4 linked regions of the Drosophila melanogaster genome follow. Changing the gene in region 2 together with the main gene of any one other region gives a genetic interaction. Each region holds a gene or a part of one and is shown on either strand. Other genes may lie near its edges. The genes, in order: SmD3, osk, Hrb27C and nanos.

Region 1 (6,796 bases), on a different chromosome or scaffold from region 2:
ATTTGTTTAGCGATTCACCCGTATTTTGTGGGAAGTAGGGGGCTCCATTTAACCTTGGGGCTCTGACTCACACCGCACCCCGATTCAGATCCACATCCCCTGACCGACCGGGTCGACTGTACCCGTGCTCTCCGGCACATTTGCATATCTGTCGGATAGAACTAGGCTATTATACATTTGTATGTATGTATGTACGTGTATGTAGATATATCGTGAGGCCTCCTAGTCGCTGCTACTTAATCAGATAGATAAATGATGCCGCCACCGTTTGGATGTCGTCAGTCGCCAGACAAACGCCCAGAGCACAGCACCACACAGATCATCAGCGAGCAGTCTCCACATCGCCAGTGGAGGAGAGGCACGGAAACCGGGCCGCCACATAACACACAGATATCCAATCGCCACATCTTTTCGATGTGAGTTCCAAGCTCCGCCGAAGGACCGACCGACCGAAGCAACGCAATCTGTGATAAAAGATAAAGAGCACATACCAGGAGACAGATAGTAGACTGCAGCTGTGATAAATCTCAACCGGAGACCAAATATTTAACTTGGCAATGACGACGTCTAGCGATATGGTGGCGCAGCCAGATAACCAGAAGATTCAGAACGAGAACCAGAAAATCTTGTGGTACGTCAGCATAGCCCCATCTTTTTTATTAATTGCGAAAGCATTTTCAATTGCCTTGCACACGTGCCATCGATTCGGGGAATTATTACTCTAACAAACCCCCCCACCCCCAGACACAGCCATAAATTGCATTCATTAGGCATTGAACCACATGCATCCAATCCATCTGCTGCTGCTGGTGGTCACTGTTCCCATTCAGGCCTCTATTTCGCTCAATTCACAATGCTCTGCCAAGTGCGCAGTTTGTTGATTTAATTGGCTTGGCAGAAAGGAAACCAACATAACAACAAAATGCCTGGCATATTTCGCACGTAGTCTGCCGGCAAACAATACACAAATGTACATATGTATGTACAATGTGTGGAAAGCATTTATATAGTATATAGGTATCTGTATGTATCTGTGCTGTCCACATTGAATGTCTGATTAACACCTAGAACGAACCAAATCGAATCCAAATGCGAATAAGTGAATAAAGAGAGCTGTCCGTCGACAGTCCAGAAACTATTTAATATCACTGTCATGGAATTGCTCTCTTTGTATAATATTCGACGATGCGCTGTGAGGCAATGAGACTAACCAAACGACTAAACCCAAGTTCCACATTCAGTTCGTCTGGCCTAACACTGTGTCCTGTCCGTTGAGGTGTTAGCTTAGATTTCCGCTTTCAGATCCTCCGCGAATTGTGAAATGAAGAGAGCTATCCGTCGACAGTCAAGTTAAGACCGATTGTAATACTGTCATGGAATTGCTCTCTTTGTATAACATTCGAAAGGCGACGATTATAAGATCGAATGAATCGAATTGGAGTGCTTAATTTTAAGCCAAACTTGTGAGCGTCCCCCTGGTTATGGTGTCTAATCCCTTCCCACCTTTCAGGTGCTTACTTTACTTAGACAACAAACAACGTCTGCCTCTTTCAAATTCAAGTTTCAAGTGTATTCTCGGCTGCTCTGCCCGATAAATACTTTACAAAAAACATCTGGAGAAGTTCGACCCGCCCGCTAATAATATGATGCCCGCAACTTAGAGAATAGAAATGCGTTGTTCAGTAGGCAGTTCCTACAGGCCGCCGCGTCCTCGACCGCCGGTTGGTCCTCCCTGCCATGCTCCGCGTCCGCCGCTGCCGCCGGGAGCTCCTGGCGGTCCACCAGTGCCCCTTCCGCCGCCCGGAGGTCCGCCTCTTCCTCTGCCACGAGCTGTAAGGGAAATGTCGTTTTTAATAATTGCATTTCGCTGAGGGCCTCACATACACTGCACGACTGTCTTTAAAAACAAAATTCATTTCTAGATTTCACTGCACATGGCTTTATAACATTTTTTTTTTTAGTTTTTGCTTTCTAAAAATAAACATATACACAAACTTACTACCTTAGCATGTTTCTTATTTTACCCATACGTTAATACTTTAAATTTTGAAATTAATGAATTAAATGGGAGGGATATGATTTGACGAAAACTATCAGCTCAGTTTTTAAAACAAACTAAACCCTGCATTAATATATTTTTTGTAGCACTATTTATACATATTAAATTCTATAAATTTTACTACCATTTTTTTTACTATCATAAAAATTGTATGGTATTTGGATTATTAAATTGGGATAGCAAATATTTTAGTTAAATTTAGAAGTTAAACGAGAGCATAGAAAATATTTTGTTTTTAAAGGCAGTCCGTGCAAAAAGTGAATGTGTATGTGTGTGTGTGGGCCAAAGTGCCCAACTCACCCTGTGCGCGCAGAATGGCCGCCTTGCCCCGTCCCGCCGTCCCACCAAGTCCCTTGCCCGTCTGCTTCTTGAACATCGGGGCATTTTTCAGCATGTCGGGCAGTATAAGGAATCGGATCTTGGAGCCGCGAATGTAGACGTTCTCCAGGTTGGCGGTGCGTCCGTCTCGGTAGGTCACCGTGATCTGGGTCATTTGGCAGTTCATGTTGTCCTCCGCCTCGATGAGTTTGCCGCGGTACACCTCGCCGGTGATGGTTTCGCAAGTGATTATGTGGCCCTCGGCCTCGTGCAGAACTTTAATGGGCACTCCGATAGACATGTTCGCTAGCTTGGTGTGTTGCTGTCTGTTCTTGTTCGTTCAACTATATATTTTTCACTGTTTTTTTTTCCACCGAAACCGCTAAATTTTTTCTCCGTTTTTCTTTGTGCAAGCGTTTATGCCGAGTGTTTGCGAGTGTATGTGTTTGCGTGCTCGCTCCCGCTTTGACAGCTGCCGGCGGCCATCTTGTGGTGAAATTGGTGGTGCGTGAGCGCAGGGCTGCATGCGCTGCGTGACTATCGGAAACAGCTTATCGGTTTGCCGATAAGGCGCGCGGGCGTATCTTATCGCTTTAAAATAAACAACTGCAATTTGTTAGCGTCATAAAAGCGAAATAATTAAATTGTCGCCGCTTCGCTGATAAGCCTTTCGTTCTGCCTTCGTGGCCATCAGTTTGTTAGCAGCTTTTGCGACGTTCAGTTACCAATTGAGTTTTACTCTACACCATGTTGTGGTAAAGATTTCGGGTTTATAAATTCAATTCATAATTCACATAAGTAATTTGTAAATGGGAAATAATCTTTATAAAAACATGGGAATATTCGCTATATGCTTGCCATTAAAAAGGGGATATAAACTTTCCAACAGATGGAGTTGCGCTACAAAATCGAACAGGCACATCGCAGTTCGATATGGGGTTTTTTTGACTAAATACCCAATTTTTTTTCCACAGCGACCCAGTGTTTAGTAGTGGCTTCGTTAGAAGAGAATTTAATGACAGCGGAATTGCCGACGGCAAGCTCCGCACCATCTCGACTTCGTCTTGCGCCACGACCATGTCCTCGGAGTCCTACCGCATCTCTCTCGGCGTAGGGCCTCTGTGGTGGTCCTGATGTCCCTGTCCACCACAGAACAGATCACGATAGGGCATCGCTCTTGACGGGTGAGTAATAATAACTAACCATTTAAGTACTTATTATGCTAAAATGTGTTAATTCCTTCCGTGTAGGCTACAGCCGTAAGTCTTCGGTCGACTCGGCTGGTGGCAGCCTGTACGAGGCCAGCTCCCGGGCGTCGTCGTTGTCGTCCTCCCAGTCGGATTGCTCCGACTTGGAGTCGCAGCCCGACATCCACTCGCTGTGCTCGGACGATGACTGCCAGGAAGTGCTGCGCCAGATCTTGCAGCACGACCAGCCGGTGCAGATCACCATCAAGCTGCATGTCACCGAGGACCAGTACACCAATTGGAATACGATTCTGAACCCAGTCAACAACTTGTTGTATGTCGCTCTACCGAAGGACCTTCCTCCGGCCGGCTCCAAGCAGACCTTCATCTCGCTTCTGGAGTTCGCCGAGGAGAAGCTGGAGGTGGACGGCATCGTTATGGTAATGCCTAAAGATCAGCCGGATCGAGCTCGCCTCATCGAGGCGTTCCTCTTCATGGGCTTCGAGCCGCTGTCCAGGAAGGCACCGCAGGCACCGCCGGCTGCCATTAACGACAACGAGAACTACTACTTCCTCTACAGCATCGAGGAGTAGTTCGTCGGCAAGGGGACGATTTTCGCCACAGAAACGAAACAAAGAAGAAGTAATATCAGTAGCAATCCAATATTCTGTTTCGTAGTTTCCGCAAATAACTTTTATTAGCCAGCCGTAGATACAATGACATATTGAGCTCAATATGTGTTCAGTGAAAATCAGCAAATCAATCCTTTTTGAATCTTCGCGTTGTTTATGTAGTCGAAAATCGTTTTGAAAATTGTCTTCGGAGCGGCTTCATTTTTGGTAGACTTTCAATTATGGCCAGCCACGTTAAGAGCCTGATCGCAAATTACTATATTAAACTATATCCAACAACAACAAAAATCGAACGAAAACGTAAAAAAAAGTAGAAAACTAAAAAATGTCAAAAAAAAAACAAAACAAAACAAAGGAATGTATTAATCCTAAGTTTATTCGTGAATCAATATTTTTTATTTATGTTTTCATGTCTAATCAACATATATATTTTCTTCATGTTTTTTCTATATATTTTATGTTTAAGCTTATATATGAAGTATTGTAATCCCAATTTGTTCGCACTTAAAAATATTCAATATATTTTTATTCACTTTTTGTACGCCGAAAGCGACGAGAACGGCGAGGTAGAAGTTTTGAAGGATAGAAAGGGAAACGCATATGCATAGAAGCTAATTACATAGATCAGCAAAAAGGATCCACATACACGCTATATCCAATATTAATAAACTTATTAATCAATAGATTCCACACCGCAAGCAAGCAAGCGAAAGCAGTTCTTTTATTTATACCACTTTGTATGTATCATTTTCTTGATTCCAATAATAAAACATATGACTTAACAAAATTATTGAATTGTCGGCCGGATTATTAAATTATTTCGTTTACGACGCTCGCGTTTAGTGCGCATTATTATTGTTTATTGAAAGTATCTCGAGTGGAACTTGGTCGAGACTTATGATTAAATTTATACACCCAATTGCCTCACCTTCCTTTCGCAGATAAGAGAGATTTTATATGTATTTCGTCTACTGTTTAAAAAGTGACCCAATACGATTGTTAGAGATAAGTCTGCACAGTTTGTCACTTGAAGATAAGTAGTTATTGGAAAAACGGGGGCTCCTAAATTAATAAAAAAAAGCGTGAGATTTGACATCATCGCCAATATCAATTGGATTTCAGCAGTCATTCATTGAAATGAAGAGCCAGTTTAAAAATCAAAGTGTCATGATCACATTAAGCTTTAAATGTAATTATTGCACTTTTGGCTTCAATGATTCAAAAGCATAGCTACATTTCTAAAGAATATTAACCAATCCATATATAGTAACTTACAGAGAGTTATGCTTTGTATCTGTATCTATGATTTGATGAGCCTGATAGATAGTATCTCAAGTTGACTACTCTTTCCGATTAAATTGTAAAGTTTTGGGTAATATTTTTGAAAAGAACTGTGAGGTTTGAGTACTTTCCCAGCTAATCTTGGCCCGAAAATCATTCAACAGCTGTTCACTCCACTGTGCGTCTGTCTGTCTGCCCATTAAATGAACGATAAAACATGCCGAATATATTTACATATATACCCCATCTATGTGATATGGTGGCCAGGGGCTGTGGGCTGTGGGCACTCGCATGAGGAGATAACGATATAAACGGCGGCGGAAGAGTCTCCGAAAAACAGTCGAGACTGGAGCGTCGCCGGGTTTACACGATCCGAGAGCTTTGCATCGCAGAAACAGAAGAAGAAGAAGGCATTGAAGTCCATATCCTATACCGAAGCTATCATGTTGAAGGCGGTGAGTGTGTGGTTCCAAGGGGCGGACCTAATCTAATCGCCGGTTCAGATATGAAAGTGGCTTCAATTTAATTTACTATCAATACCCATCGATTCACCTTGATTACTCCGGATGTTTGGCCCGCTGCAGATTATCGTTTTTGCCACTATCTTGGTGGCCGTGGCCATGGCCATGCAGCCACTGGAGGACAATGAGCGAACCCATCATCTGAACCACAAGCGCCAGTTGTCGCAACAGCACCACCACCACCACCAAAAGCTCCAGGAGGTGAGGCATTCGGGCCATGATAGTCTGAAACATGGTGGTTCCCACGTTAAGGAGCATCAAGCGCATCACTCTGAGCGAAAGGCCAGGCAGAGCCACAAGGAGCCGGGCCACAAGAAGAGTCACCACCAGAAGGAGCACCGCCAGCAGCAGGACAACCACACCCGCAAATCCCGATCGCATTCCAAGGGCAGCAAGCAGCATCACAAGCGGCACACGGGATCGCGTCGCCACTAGGATAATCCTGTATCCTGTGGCCAGGATATATTCTATTTAAACTCTAGCCAATGGATTCCTTATGCGAGGATTAAACTCCGAATACAGTAAACACTCGTATAATTGCATGTATGGCAACAGTAAAGCCAATCTATTTAAATGTTTACAAAACTACTGTGAAATATAAGCCATGACCAAATAAACACACATTTCATAAATGATATTAATATCCACAAGCAGCTTCAACTTTTAATAATTTGGAACACTTGATGTAGGAAATGCATTTAACTTGGATTTTAAGTTGAAAAACAGGTAGTATTTCAGAGAATTATGAGTTTTAAATAGTTTATGGCCGCAATAACTAACTTCTATAGTATGGTTTTC
Region 2 (8,804 bases):
CAGGTCATACAGATTCAACAGCATCTGGACATGTGTGTCCTCGCCATCGCCGCCCAGACCAACCTTCTTGACGATCTTTTCGGCCTGTTCACTGGTCAAGCCAGTGCCTATATCGATGGGTTCGTACAAAATGGCATCTGGACTGCTGGCAGCCACCTCCTCAATATCAACACCACCCTCCTTGGAGGCGATCAGCACGGGACCCTGGAAATTGAATCGTCTTTTATAGCTTCACAGGGTTGAATGCATGGTTATTAGACATACGTTAAAGGCACGCTCCATCATCACGGCGAAGTAGAACTCACGGCGGGGGAACTTCCTTTCGGCAACCATCACCTTTTTGCAGATGCGACCGGCTGCTCCGGTTTGCTTGGTGACCAGAAGCTGATCGATCATTTTGCTTGAAAGTTCTTCAGCGGTCTGGGGACTGCGGAGTAAGATTTGTTTTTTATGTTTTACCACACAGATATTAGACATATATCACAACTTACTCGTAGACCACTCGCACACCTCCCTTCAGGCCATTCTTAAAGGTTCCTTTGCCTCGTCCTCCGGCCAAAACCTGAGCCTTCAGCACCAGGTTATCGGTCTTCAGCTTGGTGGCGATATCGTTGGCCTCCTTGCCGTTCTTGGCAACAGCGAAACTGCAAAAAAATGAATCACTCAGTACGCGAAATAATTTTGGGGGTGCGCTCTTTACGATGTTCCTGATTGATTGTTGATAGGAACATTTCACGTAAATCGTGTTATCAGTAGACCACAAAGGTTGAAAGTTGAGACAAGGTTATTCGGTCATTCGAGAGATGACAAGCCCTCATTTAGAAAATAAATCAGTCGCCTGATTTTACCTGAATAATAGCAAAAGCAACTACTATCTTTTGATTCTAATAATCTCAATTTATCAAACGAAATGGAAATCAAAATATTCTAGCTTTGCAATTGCTTAAATTTAAATTACAGGTATTTTAAACATTAAAATATATTTTCTTTACCCAAAGTTTATGTATATTTAGTTAGTTTAATTATGATAGACGTCAACTAATGCCGCTTCCATCTTATCAAAGCCCACGTCACTGACCCTTGTCACTTTACGCCGATCAAAGTGTGTTATAGTATAAAACTTGTTATCACCCTTATCATCGGCGGCTGCGTTTCTCTGGTTTGTTTACCCCGTAGTCGGCTATACTCAATGCATATTATTAAGTTCAGGCAAAGTCCAAAACGCACATAAGCCAAAGGAAACAGACGACGCAACGACAACGCGGCACTTTCATTGAACTTTGGACTGCGACTTTGACGCAAATTGTTGGTTGTTTGCCCGCGATTTTGATAATTCCGATTGGGTTTACTCACCGAGGTGTTGGGATCTTGGCCTCATTGAGCAGACTGTAGGAAACGTGTTCCTGGACATTGAGGTTCCTCAGCTGCTGGACGGCGATGGGAGCCAGGCCAAGAATCTGAAAAGGTTGGAATTTTTGCCATGTTAATTTGCGAAAATTAGATGCTAATTAAAGATAACAAGAAAAATAATTAAAAATATATTTAAAAGGATGAAAATAAAAACGATTTCGAAACTTATTGTACTTATAAATGAAATCTTAATTCCAGTCACGAGGTCATTGTCAAGCAAAAATTAAACATAAAAAAACTGGTTCGGTGATTCATGTGAAAAAAACATAAACAAAAAGCGGCGAAAAGAAACGAAATCTGGGTTAAGAGCAAGTTCGTCCGGCTAACGGCGTTTCCCGGTGATAACCGAAACTAATTCACAGATTAAGAATTTAATTAGAGGGCCCGGCGACAACAGCAACAACAACCACAAACGATAAGCAACAGTTGTCAGCTGCTCATTGATAAAAAACAAACTAAATTAAGTGGGGGAATAAATGGGGCTTTCAAGGTCCCCACACACACACATGCGTACGAAAAGCGCACAGTTGCGTCACACTGACACAATAAAAAAGTCAGGTGTCTTTGGTGATCGTGACTCTCTTTAAATCTCACACTCTCCCCGTTTCTCTGGAGAAACAATTAGTTAACAAATGGCAAAGAACTTAAATTATCGCTTAAGTTTTTTTTTTGTACCGATAAACGATCAGCATTTCACATGTGTGAGTAAGTGAGAGACAGAGAAGGGGACAGCGTAGGTGTTCACTCTCTCTTTTCGCCTTATTATGTAAAGCGACGGATTTTCGCATTTTTTACACACAAATATGACTACTAATTGGCGAACTCACCTTTTTTATGGCCGCTGGCCTAACGGTTTCGATCAGGGGGCCGCCAGTTCGTGCCAAGAATGAAGCCATTTTGTTCTGAAATCGAATGAGAACGTACGTTTAACGATTTGAAAGCGAATTTTGACGTTACTGCTTACATTTCAAGATTTTTTTGCCGTCGCCTGCTGATGGAGGTGGTAGAGCTTCGATAGCAGGGACTTTTTTATGCTTTTACAATCGAAAATGCCGAAAAACTATCGTGAACTTAATGCAAGGTTGGAAACTGTAATATATTAGCAAAGATTCAAGCCAATTTGGCGGGAACTTTTAATATTGCATGCCATCTAAATTATTTTTCAACTACCGTTATTTTTATGATAATAATAAATTCGCAAATATAATAATATATTCACAAATGTCACAATATAATCTAGACCACTTTTAAATCGAAATTAGTTCGATTAGTTCCCAGTTACTTTGAACATAGCTTAGAGCAAACAAAATCATTGATTTCCCTTTTATTTTATTTTTTCATTTTTTTTTTGGATTTTACATTGCAGCTTGTTATAGGACAAAAAAAACGTGATCACCATCAATACATACAATTAACATACATTCAAGACAATAAATAAGTTTATAAATAGTAGATAGCTATCTAGAAGACTTTAAAGTAGAGCTGTAAATTACGCCAGAATTCTACACTGTGCTACAAACAAGCGCTTAGTGCGCACTTCCGGTTGGCGTGTCTGCAGCAGAGTGTAAGCATTTTATAAACTTTTTTGCAAACGGAAACAGAAAGACGAAAATCGCGCAAATGCTTCACTTGAATTTGCTTGAGCACATCAATAATAAATCAGCCGCGGCGTTGATTTTGTGCAAGCGAATTTTCCAAGTAAAGCAGTGCATTTTCATTACGGCCAAAATGCAGCATGGCTCATATGTATACGTACCACGCCCACTGCGCCCTTCTTTTTAAGGGCAAGTGGCAGGTTGTGTGATACAGGAGCATGCCGAATTTTGACCCACACAAAAGTATATAGAACAAAAAACAGTTTATAAGCATTGCAATGATTTGCATTTAAGTTCCATTTTGCAGTTTAATCTGATTTGGTAAAAACAGATTTCAAAGCAAAATGGTTTTGGGAAAAGCGGAAAAGTTTGAAGAGAAGTTTTCAGCTGCTTGCGCTTATTTTGCATTTGATTATTTTACACAGCTTTTGGGATAGCAGCAAAAAGTGTGCAGAAAATCAATGGCATTGGCAAAACAAATCACAGACAGCGAAAAATTGAGAAGTTTAAATCTAACATAGAACACAAAACACACAATAATATACAATAATGGACTAGGACAAGTGCACGAACATATAAATAAACAAAGACAGAGAACATACTACATATAAAACATATTAAAACTAAGCGAATTCCGTAAAAGCAGCGATCCATCAGCGTAAATCGTAAAATCATCAAAAAGTTCTTATTTTGTCGGTTCCGGTGCCAGCCCAGTCAAAATTTGCATATATGTATCTTGATTAAGAACCCAACTTAATACTCCAGACTCGTTTCAATAACTTGCAGTACGCGCTGCCGACCGATTTTGTTCCAGAACAGATAGGGTTCCTTGGAACCGGTGACTTGGCGTGGTGAGCTGAAAAGTGGCACAAATCGTAAACTCATATGATATGGTATATGGTATAAAGTCTTACGCCTGAAAGCAATCAAATCGCACCACGCCCCTTTCGTTGATTAGACAGGAGTGTATGTCGATGACCTTTAGGTGACAGCATTCGCTTCGGATAAACTTGTTGAATCGGTAGATTTTGTCACATAATACCTTATCGTGACAATAGTTGCCCAGCGGTGCAAGATTTGTTAGAATCGGCACCAATCGCATATTGTGCATCTCCTTGATCAGTAGCCGAAAATCGTGCTCGATCTGAACCAAAGGCTTGCCGCGCATAATGTCCACCGATCCGATATTGACGATGATCTGAGTACCCTCGGGTAATTGGACTCTTTTTAAACGATTTCGGGCGCCATTGATCGTCAGTCCGGATACACAAAGTCCTGACTGCAGGACGCGTTCGTGACGCCTAAATCGGCATTTTAGCTCCATTCGGGCGAGATATAGCATAAAATCATCGCCCATAAGCGGAAAGTCCAGCAGATAGGCATCGTAATCCGAGTTAATCGTCAGCAGAGAATCGTTGTAGGTTCCACTGGTTAAAATCGTTGGCGTGGGCGTCATTTCGTGGCGTCTCTTCATTATGTTCATGCCGTTAAATGGATGCACAAAGATGCCCAAATGGCGGTTTTCAGTCGGTTCGGTTTTCTGGCTTTGGGTTCTGCAGCTTGGCTGATGCCCAGGTGGAGCCAAATTGATTGGTTCCTCTGGGGCATCGGGGCTGTAGATGTTGATGGGTACTGGCATTTTTGGCGCATTTACGCTGGCTTGCTGGTAGAAATTGTTGCTAGGAGTTCAGTAGAAAGATTAGTACATTTTGTTAAGTAAAGGTTTATTTTTGCTATAGTTGCACTGTCTACAAAACACCTTTTCAGTACTCACAGATGCTTCCAATTATCCTGGTAGCACCAGTTCGACTCCGCTGCCTCATTGGCCATTTGATGCAGCGAAACCGGCCTGGTGGCGATATCCTTGGTCTTTTCATCCGTTATCTTGGGCACGGTCCTCGGGCTGGTGTTCAGCTGGGACAGAGCCCTCCGTTTGAAGGGATTCTTCCAGTAGCGTGGAGGTGCTCGTGGTATGTTCTCCAGGGACGGAGCTCCGCTGCTGTAGTCGCTGGTGCGCTCTTTCTGGTTGAGCACCATATCCAGGAGGTGACCGTTCTTCAGGCTCGCTTTCAGGTTGAAGATCCGCTTACCGGACTCGCTGCACTCAGCGGTCACATTGGGAATGGTCAGCAGGAAATCCGTCACGTTGTCGTGCAGTGGAAATGGATTGCCCGTCAGTTTTCGATATTCACCTGGCGAATTTCAATTATAGAATTATTTAAGGGTAATCTTACAAAAAAGAAACATAGAAAAAATATAAATTAAAATAAATATACTAAACTATAAAAGTTATATAATCCAAATAAAATTTAATAACCTACTAAAAATTTATACATTTTAGATTTCTAACTAAATATAGCCACTTAGAGAAAGTTCTGAAGTGTTTGATGAAGTCGAAACTTCTGGAAAGAAGAAAGCTTTCAAACATAAAGCTACTCACTCTTGATGCTCGATATCGTGATTCCATTCTGGGCGTGGCTCAGCAATATGGCGCGCACCTCACTATCTATATCGGGATATTCCTCGCGCACGGATATATAGTTGCTCTCGATGATGGTCATGTTGTTCTCGCTGGTGTTGCTGTTGCTGTTGTAGGTGATTTCCTTGGTGGAAATCTGAGTGGACGAGAAGAGTCTGGCTACGACTTGCAACTGCTGGCTGCTCTGCCGGCTGGTGAGTTCATGGGCCACCAATGGCACCTTCCACAACTCCGGCAATTCGGTTTTTCGCGCCGATTTGAAGATCTTCCGAAAGCGTTCGCCGCATGCGGAGAAATCGGACCTTACGAAGATCTGGTTGAGGCAGCTGGAGGAACTCTTGCGAAAGGAACCGGATGACTGGAGTTTATCGCGCAACTGCTGGAAACACGTGGTCACCCGCTTTTTCACGGACTTAAGATAATAGGTTTTGGCGGAAGTATTGGTGCTGGTATAACTGATCGGTTTGCTGGGGAATTCACTTGTGACTGCGGCCATCGCTTGGAGGAAAGTGATCCAATATTCTTGGATCCCTCGCCAACGCGGTCCACTTCTCCATTCATCTGCATTTTGGAGACTTACGGTGCTTTTCGTACTGGAAGGCGAAAGAGCAGGCGCAACAGAAGTAACGGTGAGCAGTTTGCAGAGATAATGTTTCCAGATCAACAGAATTTGTGAAAATACATTAGGGTGGTACAACCAAAAAATTTTGAAAAAATAAAAAACTGTTTTCAGAACCTAATATAGAACCTATATATATATATATATATTCATTTTCTTTAATTTTTTTATCAATTTGTTCCCATTCGCCCACCATTAGGTTAACATTCAAAGCAGTCTACGTAGCCAGTAAAAACAATTAAACGAAATTACCACCTGCATTGCCATTTGACGACCATTACACAAAGCAGTTTGCACTCCGTTCCAGCTGGACATTCGTTTTAATGGCCTTTCTCTTGGTCCAGATTAGAAAACAGCACGCCAGTGGGTCTGCAGAGCTGCTTGATAAGCAATTACGAAGTAGCATATACATAAATTCCAGAATAACTCAAATGGTGCCGACGAGCGTTACCACGTGCGGTGGTGCTCTGGTGGTCTGTCGGCTAATCGGCAAATGGAGCTGCTTGGCAGCAATTCCCCAGGAGATGATTATCCATCCATACAGCAAGTGCACCTGAAACTCCGAGAAGGGTAATGGAGGCACTTGCTCTGAGGGTTAGTCCAGCGATTGATGGATGACTCAGGGGCTTTCTTACATCTCGTGATGATTCCGGCACCCCGGAAGAAGCACAGACAATCGGAAGGAGGATTATGGCTTCTTAGCTTAAGCAAGTTGGATACAGTCAAACATCAGTAATGCGTACCAGCAAGAAATTACAAAAATTAAATCAGTAAAAATTTTACTTAACTAGCAGATCAGAATAATAAAAAAATAATTTTCAATAAGGTGTTGATGGGTTCAAAGGGTAATATATATAGAATGGGCAATAGTTAGTGCCACTACAACCTATCTGTAATTTAGGGAAGTACTTCCTTATAGATGTTGGACTGTATATTTTCCCTAGCCTTGCCTTAATTGCAGAGGATGCTGCAGAGACGTGACGAGCAATACAATACTATATGTATGTAGAAAAACTGGGCGAGAACATGTGGTCCAATTTATAAATCTCGACCCTTCTCCCATTTTTATTTGCTGAATGTGTAAGCCCAATAATTTAGAGTGGGATGAATCAGCCGGCTTTTCTTGCCATTCAATTTTCCCTTTTCGGGTGGTGTTTCAAATATTTTGAATGCACTCGCACAGCACAGGGCAATTGTCCGGTAATAATAGTAATTTGCATTCCAGGCCCTCTCTCATTCTCTCTACTCCCAGCTAAGAATTACAGTGGTCACTCGATTGTAAGGTAAGGAATTATACATATATTTATGGTATTTGGCAACCTTCCTTGTATTTCTATAAGCGTAATTGTAGGAAGTAACCACTGAAAAATAAATTTGTTTAATATTTTTAAAGACATTTTCCTACTCTCTTCCTTTCTAACAACTACTACCATGATTGACGACCATTTTTGATTGACAACTTTTGCATTTGCGTGTGGTGGGTGTGCATTGGAAATCGCAAAAAGCAATTTACCGCCTAGATTTGTGAACGACACTTTTCATTGGGTTCGACTGCATTTCTGCATAAATTATGGAAGCCGACGGAGCAACTTGTTGTTATTCTGTCTGCTGTCTTAGAATTTTTACCAGCAGCGAATTCATTTCGCAGAGGGCGGCTAAATGTTGGGGGATAGGCAAATTATTGTAATCAATTTATGCGAACAATTTAGCTATTGCCTCACTTTGGTGGGGCGGAGAGACACCTGTTAATCTGCTGACAGGCGGAAAATCTCAGGAATGCTGATTGCGTTGCACACGATTAACCAGAAGTTCACCCCAATGGCAACTGAATCTGATCGCCTTTCGGCGGCAGCTCCATCACTAATTTCCAGTAATTATCCTTATCCGTTTCCAGAGTCTGGCTTAACATCTGTTATTATTACTCCGCAGCAAATCGATTGATTGCCCTGCAAAAGGGCCTTAATCAGGGCGCCGCAATTCAAACACACGTAATTAGAGCCCTGCTGTAATTCTATGGATGTGGAACACACTGAAGAAAAAAACGGAAAAATAAAACGGAAAATAAATAAAATATACGGAAAGATCGTTCTAGTCAATCAATCCATTTCGATTTGTAATAGTTTGGAATGATTGGAATATGAAGTTAACTTAATTCGAGATTAAGTTCTTGGTCTACAATCAATTTTTGGACAGTGCATGGCTAACTCCTTTATGATGACCGGTTACAGGTTGGCCAACAGATTGTAAAATGGCAAAACACTCGAGATAAACGGCTAAGCATCTGGCTGAGTGTGTGGCCGGTTGGCAATTAATCAAGGCTAGGTGTCGCAGACCGTAAGACTGCTTCCGATTCCGGTTTTTGAACCCCAAGAAAGTCCTCATTATGCCCACACGATATGGTAATTTCGAAGCTGTCTTGACGGAAGGCTGCCAGTCACTTTGGATATTTATTTTCAAAAATAATGAATGCCTGCGTGCACCTTAAGTGTTTATTTTTTAAAGTTTTAAAAATGTATCTTACATTTTTTTAGAATAATACTTCATTACAATTTAAATCACATTTATTTGATTTACTGTTTATTTAAGGGTTTTAATATTTTAGCAAAGGTCAAAGGCAATGTCAATACAAACACAATTTACAAATACAAACAACGATCAGCTTGGAAACGCTTCTGTCAACGAGACGTTGCTTGCCCTGTAG
Region 3 (8,203 bases), on a different chromosome or scaffold from region 2:
GGAAGATCTTGTTAGTTGATCCTGGCTGGTTGGTTGGTTTGTTGGTGAGTGTGGGGTACAGGAGAATGCTTGTTGAGTGTGGTGTTTATGAGGCGCATGAAAGAAATAATGTTCTCTTGTCTAAATGGGTGAGAGTGCTGATGTTTCGCCTATGAATTACATACTCGCTGCTATAGAACATACATGTATATCTATGAATCTGACTTGTCGCTAGTTATTCTCATGTTAAATTTTTTTTCGCTTTAAATAATAGTTGTACAAGAGTTTTAAATATTAATTTCAACAACTGATCTGATCTGAAATAAAAACGAACAGACGACGCTTTAGCTTACAATTACCACCATCTTTTCTGTCTTCTTCATCATTCGCCGAGGACGACATGCTACTCCGCTCCTCTCTGCTCCGCTACTCCTACTTCTCCTCCACACGATCCTTCTCTCTTTAGACAGCCTGCGAGGTTGCATAGGGTGGCTGCGTGGAGCTGTCGTTGCCGTACGCTGATCGCGGCCCTGCTCCGTAGTTCGAGGCGCCCTCCTGCTTCACATAGTTGCTGTAGTCGTAGTCGTACCCGGATCCATAGCCGCCGTAGTCGTACTCAGAGCCAGACTTGGAGGCCGAATTACCGGGTCCGGTCCGGGGCATGCCGCCCACTGGTCCAGTGGTCGAGGGACCGCCCGTCGCCCAGGCTTGAGCACGCGAGTACATGTCAGTGGCGGTGCCCGCTCCGGCTCCTGGTGCCCCAGTGGGTCCGGCAGAGTTAGGTGGCATGTTCCACGAGTTCCAGCTGCCGCCGCCCGATGGTCCCGAAGGAGCTCCGGTCGACGTCGAGTTATACATGTCGTATCCGCCGTAGCCCTGCGTCTGCTGAGGTCCAGCGTAGTTCGACCACTGCGGTGGTGGTCCCTGGGGTCCTGGTGGAGCTCCCCATCCCTGGTACGATCCTGGGCCACTGTTGCCGTAGCCGTATTGTTGCTGCTGCGGCGAGGTGCCCCAACCCTGATAGCCAGGCATCATATTCGGCGCTCCAATGGGCATATTCAGCGGCGGTCCACCCATCTGGCCATTCTGGCCCTGCATCATGTTGATGGGAGCATGGTGCGGTCCCCAGTGGCTGCACTCGTTACCAAGCTTGCCATAGGCGCCTCCCACGGTACTGTTGTTGGAGTTTTGGCCGCCAGATCCATCACGAGGCTCGGCCTTCTTGATTTCGACCTGGGGATAATAATGATTATTAGTGCTGTTGCCAAAAATGTTAACTTATATTCTTTGTACAATTAATTGTTAGTGTATTCTTTTGAGCGTTTTTAAGTAAAAATTATTTCCAATATGTTTTGTTACAAATAGCACTCTTGTATTATATGAAACAAAGTTTAGTAAATCGAAAAAAATTATGAATATTCCATATTCACAATTTATAGTTTTGCAAGACTAGATGCTTCGCAGAAATAGGTAATTATGTTTTGTAAGTATAGCACAACTTTCCAGCGATCACATACCTGCTTGCCATTCAGATTGATGTACCGCTCGTTGGTCACGTGCTCAACGGAGGACTCCTCCTCGAAGGAGAGAAAGCCGAAGCCGCGGGACTTCTTCTTCTCCTGGTCGTACATGATAACCACCTCGGTGACCTTGCCGTAGCGGTTAAAGAAGGTCCGCAGATCGGTCTCGGTGACGTTCGAGGGCAGGCCACCCAGGAAGACCTTGTAGCCGCCGCCCTTCTTCGGTTTCTGCAGAGTGCGCGGATTGCACGGCTTGGGGTCGATGGTGCGACCGTCGAGCGTGTGCGGTCCGTTCTGCAGCACGTGGTTGACGTTGGTGGGATCGGCGAAGGTAACGAAGCCAAAGCCGCGCGACCTGCCGCTCTCGTTGTTCTTCATCACCACACAGTCAATGATGTCCCCGAAGCGGCAGAAGTAGCGCGACAGGTTCTCCTGCGTCGTCTCCCAGGATAGACCGCCCACAAAAAGTTTGCCCCTCTCGTCTTCCTCCATGATGTTGTTTTGGTTGTGGTTGTGAGCTATGGCGCCGGGTAGGTTCTCAATAATTGACGTAATCTTGCCGCTTTTTTATTAACACGGGGTGCAAAGAAATTAACTTGTGTTCGGTTGGTTGCCTGTTTTGGGGGAGAATATACAATTTTTACACTGCTGCTGGTATTTTTTTTTTGTGTTTTTTTTTATGTATTTATGTTTGTATGTATTTTATGTATGGGTTGTCCAAAAAGTAATTGCGGATTTTGTAAATGAAAGTAAATGCATTTTTAATAAAACTTCGAATGAACTTTAATCAAATATATTGTTCGATAATCTTTTGCCATCTTTCTGGCGAACATCCGAATTAATCGTTTGGTTCCTTGGAAGCAGCTAAAAATATACGACACCCTTCCAATACCACCAAACAGACAGCATAACCTTCTTTTGGTGGATATCAGCCATTGAAGTGAAACGGATCGAATTCATTGCGTTTAAGGTGCTTATCACAAGCGTTGATTCGGTGTGTTAAATGAATTTCTTTCAATACATGTGGTACCCAAATATCAAGCTTTTTCACCAGTCCAAGACTTTTTATAATGAACGGTTGATTTTTGGTATATTTAACTTCTCTCCTATCTCACGCTCAAGTTACATGACGATCTAATTCGATAAATAATAATGCTTTGATTTGGTCATCATCAACTTCATTTGGCCTGAACGTGGCTCATCTCTAAGTGAAAAATCTCCAGAACGGAATTTGCGAAACCAATTTTGACACTGTCTTCCTTTTAAGGCTTCATCACCATACCATCGTATCTCTCGTAACTTTCTAGCAACCTTCTCCGCGTTTTTTCCTTTACGGAAATAATAAAGTAAGATATGACGAAAATGCTCCTTTGTGGGCTCCATATTAAAATTGACGCCAAACAAACAAATAAAAACAAAATTTCGCGCACTTTTTTTTCTAATGGAAGCTAAAAGTAACAGCTGATAACTGACCAAAGAAAGAATGCAATTACAGAGTTACAAGCCGTTGAAAAAATTTGTCAACGCCGACTATATGAAAAATCCGCAATTACTTTTGGGCAATATCTTACTTTTTGGGCAATATCTTAGGTTGGTTTCAACGTTGCCAAAGTTCTTTTTTCCTTCAAAACAATTAAACAAAAGCCACGACGTTCACACGTAACTTTCTATCGTAACAATATCGATGTCGTCGGTTTGTTTTTGTTGCAGGCACATGGAAAGATACACATAGAATATAAGAAATCCGGTTAATCGAATTGCTACACAGGAAAAAACAAGGTGGAATAGTTAATTTGGTTATTTGCAAACTGACGTTATTAAAATTAAAGGCCAGGGCTATGGTTGAAATTTTTTTAAATTTACATTTCCTTCGGAGACAATATTTCTTGCTGTGTAAAGATCTTTGGTGCGAATGGGTAGAAATGGTCAGATGACAAAAAATTCACGCATAGTTATTATGAAAGGCACAGGTAGGAACAAAAAAAAAAAAGAGAAAAAAGCGGCAGAAGCAACCGGCCGGTACACATACACACAAACACACGCAGCTGAAGAGATTCCGCCGTACACGTGTATGTGTGTTTGTCGTCTAACTGCTTTTTGTACACGTTCACAAGTTTGCTCCTCCTTCGACACCCCAACACTACTCTCATCCCCTTTCACTCGTTTTTGAACGGCTACGTGAAAGTATTGTTTTCTTTTCGCTGTGTCACGAGCGGAATGGTTGTTGTTGTTGTTGTTGTAACAAATCCCCAGCCTCACTCACACACCAGCACACATGCCGCCTATCAATGAGAACAACGAACTTATGTATTTCCAAGGTGAAAAGAGAGCTGTCGCCGGTTCACCACATTTGCGCGCCATTTGCCAGGGTATTACAGATTACAGCCAGATGTGGGCCAAGTAAACATCTACAGGAGTATATTTAAATTTTTGTGCAAACGCCAATGAACAACGGGTTTAAATTCACTTTGTTATCAAGAAAATCCCGTTTTCTTTACTGGCAGCACTTCGCAGACATTTTGCCCATTAACAAGTGAAAAAACATGTGGCAACGCCATGTGTGACGTGAACGCGAATGGAAAGCGAAAAGCAAACGTACCAAAAACCAATGCCCTCAAAATAAATGTTAATTCCATCGAAAGAAAAAACAAACAATTCTTTTTCGAGTTTTCCTCCAGCTTTAAACGATTAATGTTTTATTGTTGTTGCTGGCTGAGTACTCACGACTGAACTGAATGAATCGCACTGGCAGTGTGTGGGAAATTCACCACGGCAAAGGCAACGAAGAAAAAAAAACAAAATGGAAGACGTGCCTTATGAAAAATGATACAACAAAGAAGTCTCAAGAAATGTCTTGGGTCTCAGTTCTTAGAAAAGGGAACAAACGCATTTCACTGTATTTTTACGCTTTTCGTTTTGTTTGGCCAGCCAGGCGGTTTAATCGATGGGGCACTCACTAATTCACGAATGCACTTTCACGCCGGGTACACTTTTGACACTTGGGCTTTCGGGCCGGAGAAATAGGAGCGAAATTAACCAAGATTTCTAATACGCAATTTTACGAATTTCGCACGATTTTTGTATTTTGCACCGCAATCTGCTGGCGTGTGTGAGTGCATGAGTTGGCCGTACGTGTGTGCGCGTGAGAGCGTGTGTGTGCGCGAATGGCCGCCGAGCGCTGTGCAATGGTGTGCGTGATCGTTGGTGTGGTGTTATACATAGCATTTTTTCGTATGTATGTATAAAAATATGAAATTTTCCACTTTGATGGGTGGAAATAGAGTGCCGAAAGTGGCACGAAAAATCGCTGAAAATTGCACAAACCTCTGTTTGTCGAGAAATCCGAAAAGGCGAAGAAACGATTCGAACGAATCGAGCCAATTTTACCCCACACACAAACACACGCGCACACCGAGCAATGGCAGCTGCGTCAAGTATTCAGGCGTTTTTTTTGGAAAGGAAAGGCTAGGCAGGCATTTTGTTAAAGCACTGTAATTGTTATGTAAATGCGATTTTCGGTCGCTTTTCGTTCTTACCGTTTGTGCCAAGTGTTCGTCTGTGGTTTTTTAAAGATTTCGCACTGCAAATTCACTAAATTTAAGTGTTTTTTCCTTAAAAAACTAGCTTATAAATAATTGTATGATTTTGATGCATACGATATTATAACCTAACTTATATGATAAATCGCCGCCACGTTTAATGCTGTGTGACCGCCGCCAGCCAAAAAAAATACCTCAAGTTGCACGGAATATACTAAAACATACTCCACATATATTCTGAATCTAACAGATACTAGAAAACAAATTTAAATTACGAATTTATATCTATCTTTTAACACGAAGGCTAAATATAAAGGAAGTTAAAGGGGACTGGTTAAAAAAATGTATTATAAATTATTTACATTAAAATGTAATTGTGCAGTACAATAATATCTTAAAGGTGAAAAATGTAATAAGATGTGTGTATATGATTTGTATGTACTATACTAAAAAAGGTTTTATAGTCGCTTTCTTTAGGCGGATGGAATGTTTTGAAAGGAAAAAATAATTTTGAGTATTTTTTTCGTAGGAGTTGAAAAGGAAATATTTAGATTTTCATTTTTCGGCCCTGGAAGTTATTGTTGCCAGACACTCCCGCCTTTTGCTGACCGTTACCCGCGGATTGAGCATAACTTTTGGTATATTTTTAGCGAGTCCGCAGTTTCTTTTAATGGTCTGTCCACGGTCACTCTGTTTGCTACCCGGTAAAATGAGTTTTGCGCTGCATTAAATAGAAAATAAACACAAAAATTCGCATCTGCCGACCGTGTTAAGTGACTAAAAGTGTTCGCCAGTGCGCGATTGACCGACCAAAGTGCCCAGGAAGGCGGTGGCAAGTGATTCCAACCCATCATCGATTTTTTTCTGCGCTGCTGCCACATTAATTTGGGCCCGGGGAAAAGCGAAATAAACAGAAATGTCGCGCCATCCGAGCGATAGAAAGGTGTACGTGGGCGATCTGGGCAACAATGCCCGGAAGAACGACCTGGAGTATGTATTTGGAGCGTACGGCAGTTTGCGCAGCGTCTGGATAGCCCGCAATCCGCCGGGCTTCGCCTTCGTGGAGTTTGAGAGTGCCCGCGATGCGGCGGATGCGGTGCGCGGATTGGACGGACGGACGGTTTGCGGGCGCCGAGCCCGTGTGGAATTGTCCACCGGAAAGTATGCTAGGTCCGGCGGTGGTGGTGGCGGAGGTGGTGGAGGCGGTGGTGGTGGAGGACTCGGAGGACGCGACCGAGGCGGCGGTGGTCGTGGGGACGATAAGTGCTACGAGTGCGGCGGACGGGGGCATTTCGCTCGCCACTGTCGCGAAAGGAAGGCCAGGCAGCGACGCAGGTAAGCGCAATTCGCATTTGCAATTCGCCATTTCAATTTTTCATTCATTGTCGTTGCCAAAAACTTCTTGCTTTTTGTAACATGGCGAGAGAAAGGCATACATACAAACAAACGCATACATACATACATGCATGCTTGTGTGTATGCGCATGCAAAAATGTTGAGTTTGTTTGGGCACCTCTGTCGCCTGTTAAAACTAACAGCGTGCTGTTATGCGCAATGAGTGCTGTTAATCCCAGCGCATGAAGTAGTTCTGTACCATAACAGCACGCACACGTGCTCGGGTGGCATACCCATTAATATCGATATGAGAAGTATATAGCTTCTACAATTGTCTAACAAAATCATGCTTGACAACAGTAGTTATCTATTCAGATAGTAATAACAGAATTTTGTTTTTAAGTCTATTATATAGACTATTATAAGTCTAATATATTGTAAAAATGTAAACACTTTCGTGATTAATAAATATATAAAATATATATATTTTATACTCTTGAGCACAAGAATTTGTCCGTAAATTGCACAAAAGCTTACAAATAGTTACGTGACAATGATTTAGCGAAGTCCTCTAATATATTTAATATTGATATTAAAGTTTGATTGATTTGATTAGAAATAGACAAATTAAAATAAGTGGTAAACAAAAGGGTAGCAGGCGGCTGCAAGACACCCTCCTACGCTATTTTCCCCGCGCTTTTACGTTCGTGGTGAATTAATTACAGTGGTGCTGTTATGCGCGAACCAAGTGGCAACGCCGTAGACCGAAGGCACACGTGCTTGCACTTCATTTTGGATTTTTCTTTTACACGCGGCATACGGAAAAGAAGGTTAAGTTGCTGCTGGCTGCCGAGAGTTTCGGTGGTTTTAAATTGAATTAAAATTGAAACTAAATGAGCAGAGCGTAACGCGATGTTTGTGCTCTACGAAACGCCGGCGGGCTACGCGATTTTCAAGCTGCTGGACGAAAAGAAACTGGAGCAGGTGGACAATCTGTACCAGGAGTTTGAGACTCCGGAGAAGGCCAACAAGCTGCTGAAGCTGAAGCACTTTGAGAAATTCAATGACACCACAGAGGCGCTGGCCGCTGCAACGGCGGCGGTGGAGGGCAAGGTAGCCAAGCCGCTGAAAAAGACACTCAAGAAGCTGCTCGTTGACGACGTGCAGTCTTCGCTCTTGGTTGCCGATGCCAAACTGGGCACAGCCATCAAGGACAAACTGTCGGTACAGTGTGTCTGCAACACTGGCGTCCAGGAGCTGATGCGCTGTATTCGCCAGCAGGCGGACAGTCTGCTTGGTGGTCTGCCCAAGCGTGAGATGACCGCCATGGCCCTGGGTCTTGCCCACTCCTTGTCGCGCTACAAGCTTAAGTTCTCGCCCGACAAGATCGACACAATGATTGTGCAGGCCCAGTGCTTGCTGGATGACCTGGACAAGGAGTTGAACAACTACATGATGCGTGCACGCGAGTGGTACGGTTGGCACTTTCCCGAGCTGGGCAAGATTATTACCGACAACATTGCCTTCGTGAAGACCATCAAGTTGGTGGGCACCAGGGATAATATGGCCACAAGCGATCTGTCCGACATTCTGCCAGAAGATGTGGAGGAAAAGGTCAAGGAGGCAGCTGAGATCTCTATGGGTACCGAAATCTCCGAGGAGGATGTGCTGAACATTCAGTGTCTGTGCGACGAGATCATATCGATCAACGATTACCGCACCCACTTGTACGACTACTTGAAGGCCAGAATGATGGCCATGGCTCCGAATTTGACAGTGCTCGTGGGCGACACCGTCGGCGCTCGACTGATTGCCCATGCTGGCTCGCTG
Region 4 (8,389 bases), about 10 Mb from region 2:
CATCATATTGCGAATTTATGTAGATATGCGGGCACCGTCGTCACTTCCTTTATCAATTAGCTCCTTATCACTCACGCACAGGTTACGCGCCACTCGATCGCTGGATACTTTTCGATGATTAAGCGCTCGTTCGGCTTATTCTGCGGGCCAAATTGTAAATGTTTGTTATATTTCTCCGCCTTGCCAGTTTTACGTGCGTTCGCGACGAGCTTTCCGTGCGGAATGACAAACTCAAGCTGAGAGCCAGCCGAGTTAACCCCAACTCTGTTAACTCTCTGTTAACCGATCGAGGCAGTAACATTGACTTACTGTTGGGGGTATTCGAAACGAAGAAATTACTTAGCATTCTTAACTTTGCTCGGATTTTACCACCTTGCTCGTTAACCGATTGTTAAAGGTATAAATTATTATTATTATTCAGTACATTTTATTCCTGATATGTGCTATTTTGAATAACGAAGTGGGTCATGAATGAATTCTGTGAATTAAAAAATCAAATACTTATAGGCTTTTTTATGCTAATTATTCATCAAATAAAAATGTCTCTAATTTATAATCACTGTTTTTGTCACAAACATCAAAATATTTTTCAAGTTTTTGAGATACATGAATCACATGCATAGAAAACAATGACTACTTAGGTATTTGCAAACATTTTTATTTGAGCAACAAACTATTTTCTCCCTCAAAACAGCAAGTTTATACTACTTATTAACCAAGGTAAAATTAAAATGTTTTACAACTGTCATCGGAAAATAAAGCATTCCATGTTTTAAAAACACCCAATCGAATGGATTATGTAAAAGTATTGGATTTTTTTTATTTTGCCCACTTAGTAGCAAGTGGCGCTTACGGATGCCCGATCCATGGGGCAACCATAAACTTGGATGTCTGTGATTAGGGTAAGGAAACATAACACTTATTTCACAAGAATTCGCCAGCTGCTTAAATGGTACATGTAAAAATATTGAAGTATTTTTATTTTTCTAGACATTCTGAGTGGCGCTCGATGTGTACGTACATACAACTCTTTGGATTCTGTGTGTACAGTCAATTTACGATGCCCAAGCCGCCCTGAGCGAATTCCATATTTACAAGAGAAGGGGGTGGGGATTGGGAGGGGGGGGGGTGTCGGAAAGGGTTGGGGCCTTAAAATACCTAAACTCAACTACACTCAACAATTTGCTTATGGTCACTACTTATACGCCTTATACACCGGCGGTTGCACTTTAAGCTTCAACGTTATAGATTTGGCCAGGACACCAGCGGAGGAACCACGATCCCGACGGCCAATCCCCGCACCGAACACTCCTTCCGTGCTAGCCGGAAGTGGATCGGCGGTGGGCGTGGCCGCAAGGAACGGCCAACCGGGGCGTCATTTGGGATATGAGCCGCGCCGGAGCCGGCAGTCTGCTGTGCCCGGAATTCGTGGGGGAATCGTTCACGGGACCGACCAGCAGCCCCTGCCGGGCGGACGCAGTTGACTAGTGGCGGACAAAACTTTCAAAGCAATCGAAAGCGAAACCTTTGTACACACTTAATAGATTCCTGCGGGTCGAGTTCGTGGTCAGTTCGTCGTCAATGCTCAGTGTCCAGTAATCTTTTCGTTTGTTTTTTGGATGAGAAAATGAGGGAAACTTAAACGGCTCGGTAAAAAAGAAAGGCGTGGCAGCGCGCTAAACAAATTGCTCTGAGCTGTTGGCGGACAGCTCCATCAGCCGCCAGGCAGCCTTGGGGTTGAGTTCGTTGCGGTCGCGGCACAGCACCCAGACGTAGTGAACCCGCATCACCTTCTCCGGATCTCCCTCGACGACCTGACTCTTCTGGTCCCGCACGCACATAATCTGCTGGGCTTGGAACGTGATAATCAGTACCGGGCCCTGCTCCATAACCTTGCCCATTGCCAGTTCAATGTTCTCGATGTCGAGGATCTTGGAGTCCAGGTACACGCCGGCCTTCTTAGCCTCCTTAATGGGATTTGCGATAATATTGAAAGTGCTCTCAAAGCACCAATCCTTCAGAATCTCCAGATCCCCACGGACAATCGATTCCAGAATATTTGGAATGATGTCCGTTTCGCAATCGCGGAGGAAATCCTTCTGATCAAAGCTCGGATCGATTTTCACCAGCTCCGTCATCGTTTCCGAAAGCTCTGTCTTTGAAAAGAGTCCACCCATGACGTCGGACACTTTATCGGTCAGCAGGCGGGAGGCACGAATAACAGGGTTCTCGGACTCGTCGTATTTAACCTTCCAGTCAAGCACCTTGTTCACGTAGGTATTGTTGTTCTTGAAGTTCTCCCACGACTCGTAGAACTTGGAGTCCTTGTGCAGCTCCATACCTGAAAAGTAACATTACATTATGGCCATGACCTTTGATCTTATTGAAGGAAAAAGATGGAGACTCACCAGTGGCTTCCGTGTTGGGCTCCACAACGCGATCACTATCGCTCATGACGAGCTGGACGCGCTTTCGCAACTTGGCAGGAGCACGATAGACACGATTCTCTATGCTCGCGCTGTCCATCTCCTTCTTGATGGTCGTCGTCGTGTTAGAGATAGCCTGGAATGCGCTGGTCTGGCCCAGCTTGCCACTGGTGTCGGAGATCGTGTCGCTGACCCCCCTAGCCTTCTTCGAGAGCTCCTCGGTAACCTTTTTGGCCAGGTGGGATTTGCTGGCGTCCTCCAGAACATCGCCTACGCGCTCCTTGATGGCGCCCAGCTGCTCCTTTAGCATGCTAGACGACTTTTGCGCCTCCGATTCGACAATGTTAAACTTTTGCCGCGCCGATTTCAGGGCATCCGATTCTTCCAGCTTCTGGGCCTCCTCACGGAACTTTCGGATATTGTCCTTGATCTCCTTGTTCTTATCCATCTCCGCCTTCATGTTGTCGAAGAACTGCGAGAAGAAGCCGGCCCTGCGACCTGGCGCACTATAAAAGCGGGGCTGCGGAGTAAAGTCATGACTTAGGCCGGTTGCGCCATGGGGTTTTATGAGCCAAACTCTAACCTGCTGCTGCTGCAGGTTCTGCGAGGCCTGCTGGCACGTGAAGAGACAGGCGCGATCCCGCACAAGGGCAGCTATTCTGTACTGCAAGGAGAAAAAATCATTGAAAGCTTCGACCGTTTTAACCTCGAAATATGCACATGTAAGGACGGATGTGAGCGAACGCCAGTGATGACCGGGATCAGAGGTAACCTACCATGGTGGGGATTAGGTGACCGTTCGCAGGTAGTTTGATCGGAGCGAATGTTCGGGGGGTCTGGCGTCAGAGGCTCTAAACTTTATGTAATTCCTGCCGCGAAACACGCACGTATCAAGCAGTCAGCTGTTCTCTTCGTTCAGCGCGCGCCGGTGTTGCAAAACGAGCGCTCTTCGCCGGCGGTGGCTCGTGCGATAGTTCGTTTTGTCGGTAATCCGATGTTGCCGCGCCGATATCATGTGATGTTGTCACAGTGCGCGAAATTCGAATGGTGGTGTGCAGTGATTGTGTTGTGACGGCGAGTGGCGCGTGTGGGTGCTTAGTTTTGGGAGATGTTTTCGTATTTTTTTGTTGATAACTCAGGCTTTGTTGCTGTGTTGTAGTACTATTTTCCATTGCGCGGTGTCCAGCTTTTAATTAGTGGCACATATTCTTAGCAAGTAAAAATTATTTTGCATACTATTAAATTTCTTATAAATTATTTTCTAAAATTAAGTTTACCTTTTCAATTTTACTAAAAATATCGATATATTTATTATCGCTGGAAAACTACATTATTCCACCTCTAAGCAAGAACCGTTAGTTGGCGCGTAGCTTTACCACAAAATTCCTGGAATTGCCGTACGCTTCGCAGTTGTTTCAAGTTGTCTAAGGGACATACGATTTTTTTTGCCTCTGCGTCACGATTTTAACCCAAAAGCGAGTTTAGTTACATGTACATTATTATTAGATAAAGAAGTATCGCGAATACTTCAGTTGAATAAACTGTGCTTGGTTTTTGGGTGAGGATTTGTGGAAAGTAGAGTGCGCGATAACCGTAACTTTCGACCCGGATTTTCGCCATGTTCCGCAGCAACTTGGAGGGCAGTGGCGCAGCAGCAGTAGGTGTTGCAAATCCCCCCTCGTTGGCTCAGTCTGGAAAGATTTTCCAATTGCAGGATAACTTTTCTGCTTTTCACGCCAGAGGAGGGCTCAACATTCTGGGCCTGCAGGACATGTATTTGGATACCAGTGGGGCCAACTCGTCGGCCACTTTGAGTCCGCCCATTACGCCGGTGACCCCTGACCCGTCGACGTCTGCGCAGTCGACGCACTTCCCTTTTCTGGCCGACAGCGCAGCCACCGCCAATTCGCTCCTTATGCAGCGACAGTACCACTACCACTTGCTGCTCCAGCAGCAGCAGCAACTGGCCATGGCGCAGCACCAATTGGCGCTGGCTGCATCAGCGGCAGCGGCTAGTGCGAGTCACCAGCAAACGGACGAGATTGCGCGATCCTTGAAAATCTTTGCGCAGGTGACGACGGGCGCAGCAGGTAAGAAGAAATGGCGAATATGGCGTCGTTTAAAACAGAATAGCCAAAAACAGTGCGCGGGAGCGAGATGACTATCTGTACAAGTACAGTTATGCCAAAGTCAATGGCCATGGGCTTAGTTAAAGGGGCAACGAAAGCACAGAGCAAAACAGAAGTAAAATTGTGTAAATGTATAATTGCTGCAGAGGTCAGAGGATTTTCGCCATTTAGTGTAGTATATTTTTTATTTTACTATTTTGTATGTGCTTTAAAATATATCTTTGCCCAACACTTGTATCCCCTTCAAGAGGTTTTTCGAGCGCCCCTGAATTTTCGGCCATTGACCTTAGCATTTTCGCTATTCCTTTTTGTTTTAACTTCGGAAAGCCATTTTGCGTCTTACATTTTCTAGAAGTTCTTTGCTTTTTCTCGTCTGTTCTTGTTTTTTTTTTGTATGCAAAAACTAATCCGTATTTGCTTATTACATTTCTGAAATGCAATTGAAACGCGAATAATAAAAAAAATACGTTCAGGACAAGGTAATGAAAAGCTTGCTATTCCCAGAAAATGCGGCTGGCTCGATGCAGGATGTGATGCAGGAGTTCGCGACCAATGGCTATGCCAGCGATGATCTCGGTCGCATGTCCTACGGGAGTGCTCCGCCACAGGTGCAAATGCCACCGCAGCAGCAGCATCAGCAACAGCAGGGGCTGCACCTGCCACTGGGCCGCAATCCTGCCCAGCTGCAGACCAATGGCGGCAACTTAATGCCCATTCCACTCGCCACCCACTGGCTGAACAACTACCGGGAGCATCTGAACAACGTGTGGCGAAACATGTCGTATATACCAGCCGCTCCCAATACAATGGGTTTGCAGGCCCAAACAGCGGCCACTGTGTCCACCAATCTCGGCGTGGGAATGGGTCTGGGATTGCCCGTGCAGGGCGAACAGCTGCGCGGAGCTTCCAATTCCAGTAACAATAATAACAACAACAACAAGGTGTACAAGCGTTACAACAGCAAGGCCAAAGAGGTGAGTGGATCTGATCCAGGATTCGCAGAATTAAAACTTGCAAAATATATTTGTTATCTTGTTTCTCCAACAGATCAGCCGCCACTGCGTCTTTTGTGAGAATAACAACGAACCAGAGGCGGTTATCAATAGCCACTCAGTGCGAGATAACTTTAACCGAGTGCTGTGCCCCAAACTACGCACCTACGTGTGCCCCATCTGCGGGGCATCTGGGGACTCGGCGCACACGATTAAGTACTGCCCCAAGAAGCCGATCATCACCATGGAGGATGCGATCAAGGCGGAATCGTTCCGCCTAGCCAAGAGCAGTTACTACAAGCAACAGATGAAGGTTTAGAGAGGGCGAATCCAGCTCTGGAGCAGAGGCTCTGGCAGCTTTTGCAGCGTTTATATAACATGAAATATATATACGCATTCCGATCAAAGCTGGGTTAACCAGATAGATAGATAGTAACGTTTAAATAGCGCCTGGCGCGTTCGATTTTAAAGAGATTTAGAGCGTTATCCCGTGCCTATAGATCTTATAGTATAGACAACGAACGATCACTCAAATCCAAGTCAATAATTCAAGAATTTATGTCTGTTTCTGTGAAAGGGAAACTAATTTTGTTAAAGAAGACTTACAATATCGTAATACTTGTTCAATCGTCGTGGCCGATAGAAATATCTTACAATCCGAAAGTTGATGAATGGAATTGGTCTGCAACTGGTCGCCTTCATTTCGTAAAATGTTCGCTTGCGGCCGAAAAATTTCGATATATCTACAATTGATCTACAATCTTTACTAAATTTTGAAAAAGGAACACTTTGAATTTCGAACTGTCAATCGTATCATTAGAATTTAATCTAAATTTAAATCTTGCTAAAGGAAATAGCAAGGAACACTTTCGTCGTCGGCTACGCATTCATTGTAAAATTTTAAATTTTGACATTCCGCACTTTTTGATAGATAAGCGAAGAGTATTTTTATTACATGTATCGCAAGTATTCATTTCAACACACATATCTATATATATATATATATATATATATATATATATATATATATATGTTATATATTTATTCAATTTTGTTTACCATTGATCAATTTTTCACACATGAAACAACCGCCAGCATTATATAATTTTTTTATTTTTTTAAAAAATGTGTACACATATTCTGAAAATGAAAAATTCAATGGCTCGAGTGCCAAATAAAGAAATGGTTACAATTTAAGGAAACAAATGTCCTTCTTGCGTTTGAAACAACTAATCCTTTTCGCCCTCGCGGCGTTTCTCGAAAAGGGCCAGGAAGATGCCATCGGTAAGATCACTGTCCGGCTGGCAATACAGGACGTTCTTGCCAATATTGGGATAGTCCTTGTCGCCCACATTGTGCCACTTGTTGCGCAAGGCCTTCTTGCAGCTGAGCAGCTTGAAGGATGGATTTAGCTGAAGACAACGCTGCACCACCTGCTCGTTTTCCTCCTTCCACAGCGAACACGTGCAGTAGGCAATGCGTTTGACGTTCGGAAAGGCGCCCATCGCGTGCGACAGGATCTTAATTTGCAAACCCTGCAGCTTTTGCAGCCGCTTGTCCTCCTTCGGCTCGTCGCACACGGTCATGCGGTTTTGCATTCCGCTGCCAGAGCAACTAGGGTCCACCAGGATGTACTCTACGTCCGGAAAGCGTTCGGGTGCTGAAATTCAAACGTGTTACTTTTTTAAATATTCATTGTGAAATATATAAATATAAAACTCACTTAGGTTCAAGGCGTCTCCCAAAATGGGTTTTACAATATCGCAACCAGCATCCTTTGTTATTTCGCACAGCGTATTGTAGCGTACGTGGTCCTGCTCCACGGAGTAGATGCATCCCTTGTTCTGCATCACATTGCATATGTGCACTGTCTTCATACCGGGAGCTGCGCACATATCCAGCACAGTGGCCCCAGACGGCGGAGCAAGTAGTTCGGCGGCCAAACAGGTGGCCTTGTTCTGCAGTATAAACCTCTTGCTGTGCACCAACGGATGGCGGACCCAGTAGTTGGACCACTTGGCAGGAAAAATGAGCACACCCTCAACGTGCAGATCGGTCATGAACTCGTTCTCCGCCAGCGATTTGATGGCAGTCAGAAAATCCGCATAGCTGGCGTCCGCAGGCAGCTCCTTGCGCCGCCAGTCGCTTTTATGCAGGTAGTCCAAGGCCTCCGCCAAGCTGTATAGATTTGTGTTGATGCGCACATATCGAGGATTGGGTTCTGTGTGGGCAAACAAAAAGACGAGTTCAAAATTGTAGCCAAAGTAAGATTTATTAAGAGTTGTTAAGAGTCGTTACTGGTCCTTTAAACGATCGAAATAATCTGGACTTGGCTGGCAGCACTTAAGTTACTGTTCTTTCTTTGGCTCCGCAGCTTCCGGCTCGTCGTCCTCATCCTGCTGCACGGGTTCCAAGGGTGGTGGGGGCTTCTCGCGGAAAGCCTTTAATACATACATGGCCACCACGAGGTTAACAACCACAACAGCCGTGAGAACTGACCAACAGTTGACCGTGAAAAGGTCCAAATGGGGGAAGGACTCCTGCAGCCAGCTGCGGACGCCATAGAAGCCCAAGAAGGGCAGCGTGAACATGAGCACACTGTAGGCCAACAGCCAGAGGAAGACCTCCGCACTGGTGTCCTCCTGCTGCGTATGATGCTCCACGGGAGAATCAATGACAGCCGGGGAATCATCAGTGGTAGCTGGCACCACATCGACATGCTGTTGTTTCCTGTTCTTCTTGCCCATCTCAGCCGGCTAATACTGGTAATCGGTGTGATAACCTGCCTTTTCGCTGGACACCGAAATCTCTGATGGAATTTAGCAGTCGATCCTTGTAACTT

What was found.
Region 1: of osk (region 2) and SmD3, changing one suppresses a phenotype caused by changing the other (phenotypic suppression), as found in Drosophila melanogaster (one study listed by BioGRID).
Region 3: of osk (region 2) and Hrb27C, changing one enhances a phenotype caused by changing the other (phenotypic enhancement), as found in Drosophila melanogaster (one study listed by BioGRID).
Region 4: of osk (region 2) and nanos, changing one suppresses a phenotype caused by changing the other (phenotypic suppression), as found in Drosophila melanogaster (2 studies listed by BioGRID).

What each region holds. Positions count from the first base shown.
Region 1 is NT_033778.4:12,164,759-12,171,554, reverse strand, and holds SmD3 (small ribonucleoprotein particle protein SmD3), read right to left. Parts: upstream 2,825-6,796; 5' UTR 2,679-2,824; coding exon 2,360-2,678; intron 1,998-2,359; exon of another isoform or gene 1,831-1,997; coding exon 1,694-1,830; 3' UTR 1,552-1,693; downstream 1-1,551. Other genes in the region: CG34232 (uncharacterized protein), read left to right, coding at 6,044-6,433.
Region 2 is NT_033777.3:8,932,322-8,941,125, reverse strand, and holds osk (oskar), read right to left. Parts: upstream 6,001-8,804; 5' UTR 5,981-6,000; coding exon 5,446-5,980; intron 5,411-5,445; exon of another isoform or gene 5,327-5,410; intron 5,198-5,326; coding exon 4,780-5,197; intron 4,685-4,779; coding exon 3,920-4,684; intron 3,862-3,919; coding exon 3,759-3,861; 3' UTR 2,731-3,758; downstream 1-2,730. Other genes in the region: ScsbetaA (Succinyl-coenzyme A synthetase beta subunit, ADP-forming), read right to left, coding at 1-204, 265-427, 492-644, 1,354-1,457, 2,238-2,306. UniProt on the Drosophila melanogaster protein: Organizes the germ plasm and directs localization of the posterior determinant nanos. Oskar protein is required to keep nanos (nos) RNA and staufen protein at the posterior pole.
Region 3 is NT_033779.5:6,917,694-6,925,896, reverse strand, and holds the start of Hrb27C (heterogeneous nuclear ribonucleoprotein at 27C), read right to left. Parts: upstream 5,194-8,203; 5' UTR 5,036-5,193; intron 4,932-5,035; exon of another isoform or gene 4,824-4,931; intron 4,638-4,823; exon of another isoform or gene 4,457-4,637; intron 4,259-4,456; exon of another isoform or gene 4,099-4,258; intron 3,167-4,098; exon of another isoform or gene 3,163-3,166; 5' UTR 3,071-3,162; intron 2,114-3,070; 5' UTR 1,992-2,113; coding exon 1,497-1,991; intron 1,213-1,496; coding exon 442-1,212; 3' UTR 1-441. Other genes in the region: nop5, read left to right, coding at 7,286-8,203; x16 splicing factor, read left to right, coding at 5,955-6,373. UniProt on the Drosophila melanogaster protein: This protein is a component of ribonucleosomes. Could be needed to organize a concentration gradient of a dorsalizing morphogen (Dm) originating in the germinal vesicle.
Region 4 is NT_033777.3:19,153,457-19,161,845, forward strand, and holds nanos (nanos), read left to right. Parts: upstream 1-3,781; 5' UTR 3,782-4,044; coding exon 4,045-4,516; intron 4,517-5,059; coding exon 5,060-5,529; intron 5,530-5,602; coding exon 5,603-5,866; 3' UTR 5,867-6,153; coding exon of another isoform or gene 6,154-6,249; 3' UTR 6,250-6,746; downstream 6,747-8,389. Other genes in the region: CG5835 (uncharacterized protein), read right to left, coding at 1-6; CG11779 (uncharacterized protein), read right to left, coding at 1,677-2,341, 2,409-2,946, 3,010-3,090, 6,154-6,249; Nsun5 (Nop2/Sun-like domain containing protein 5), read right to left, coding at 6,777-7,207, 7,271-7,768, 8,334-8,389; CG42359 (uncharacterized protein), read right to left, coding at 7,896-8,294. UniProt on the Drosophila melanogaster protein: Maternal RNA-binding protein that is required for germ cells proliferation and self-renewal. Acts by forming a complex with pum and brat that regulates translation and mRNA stability.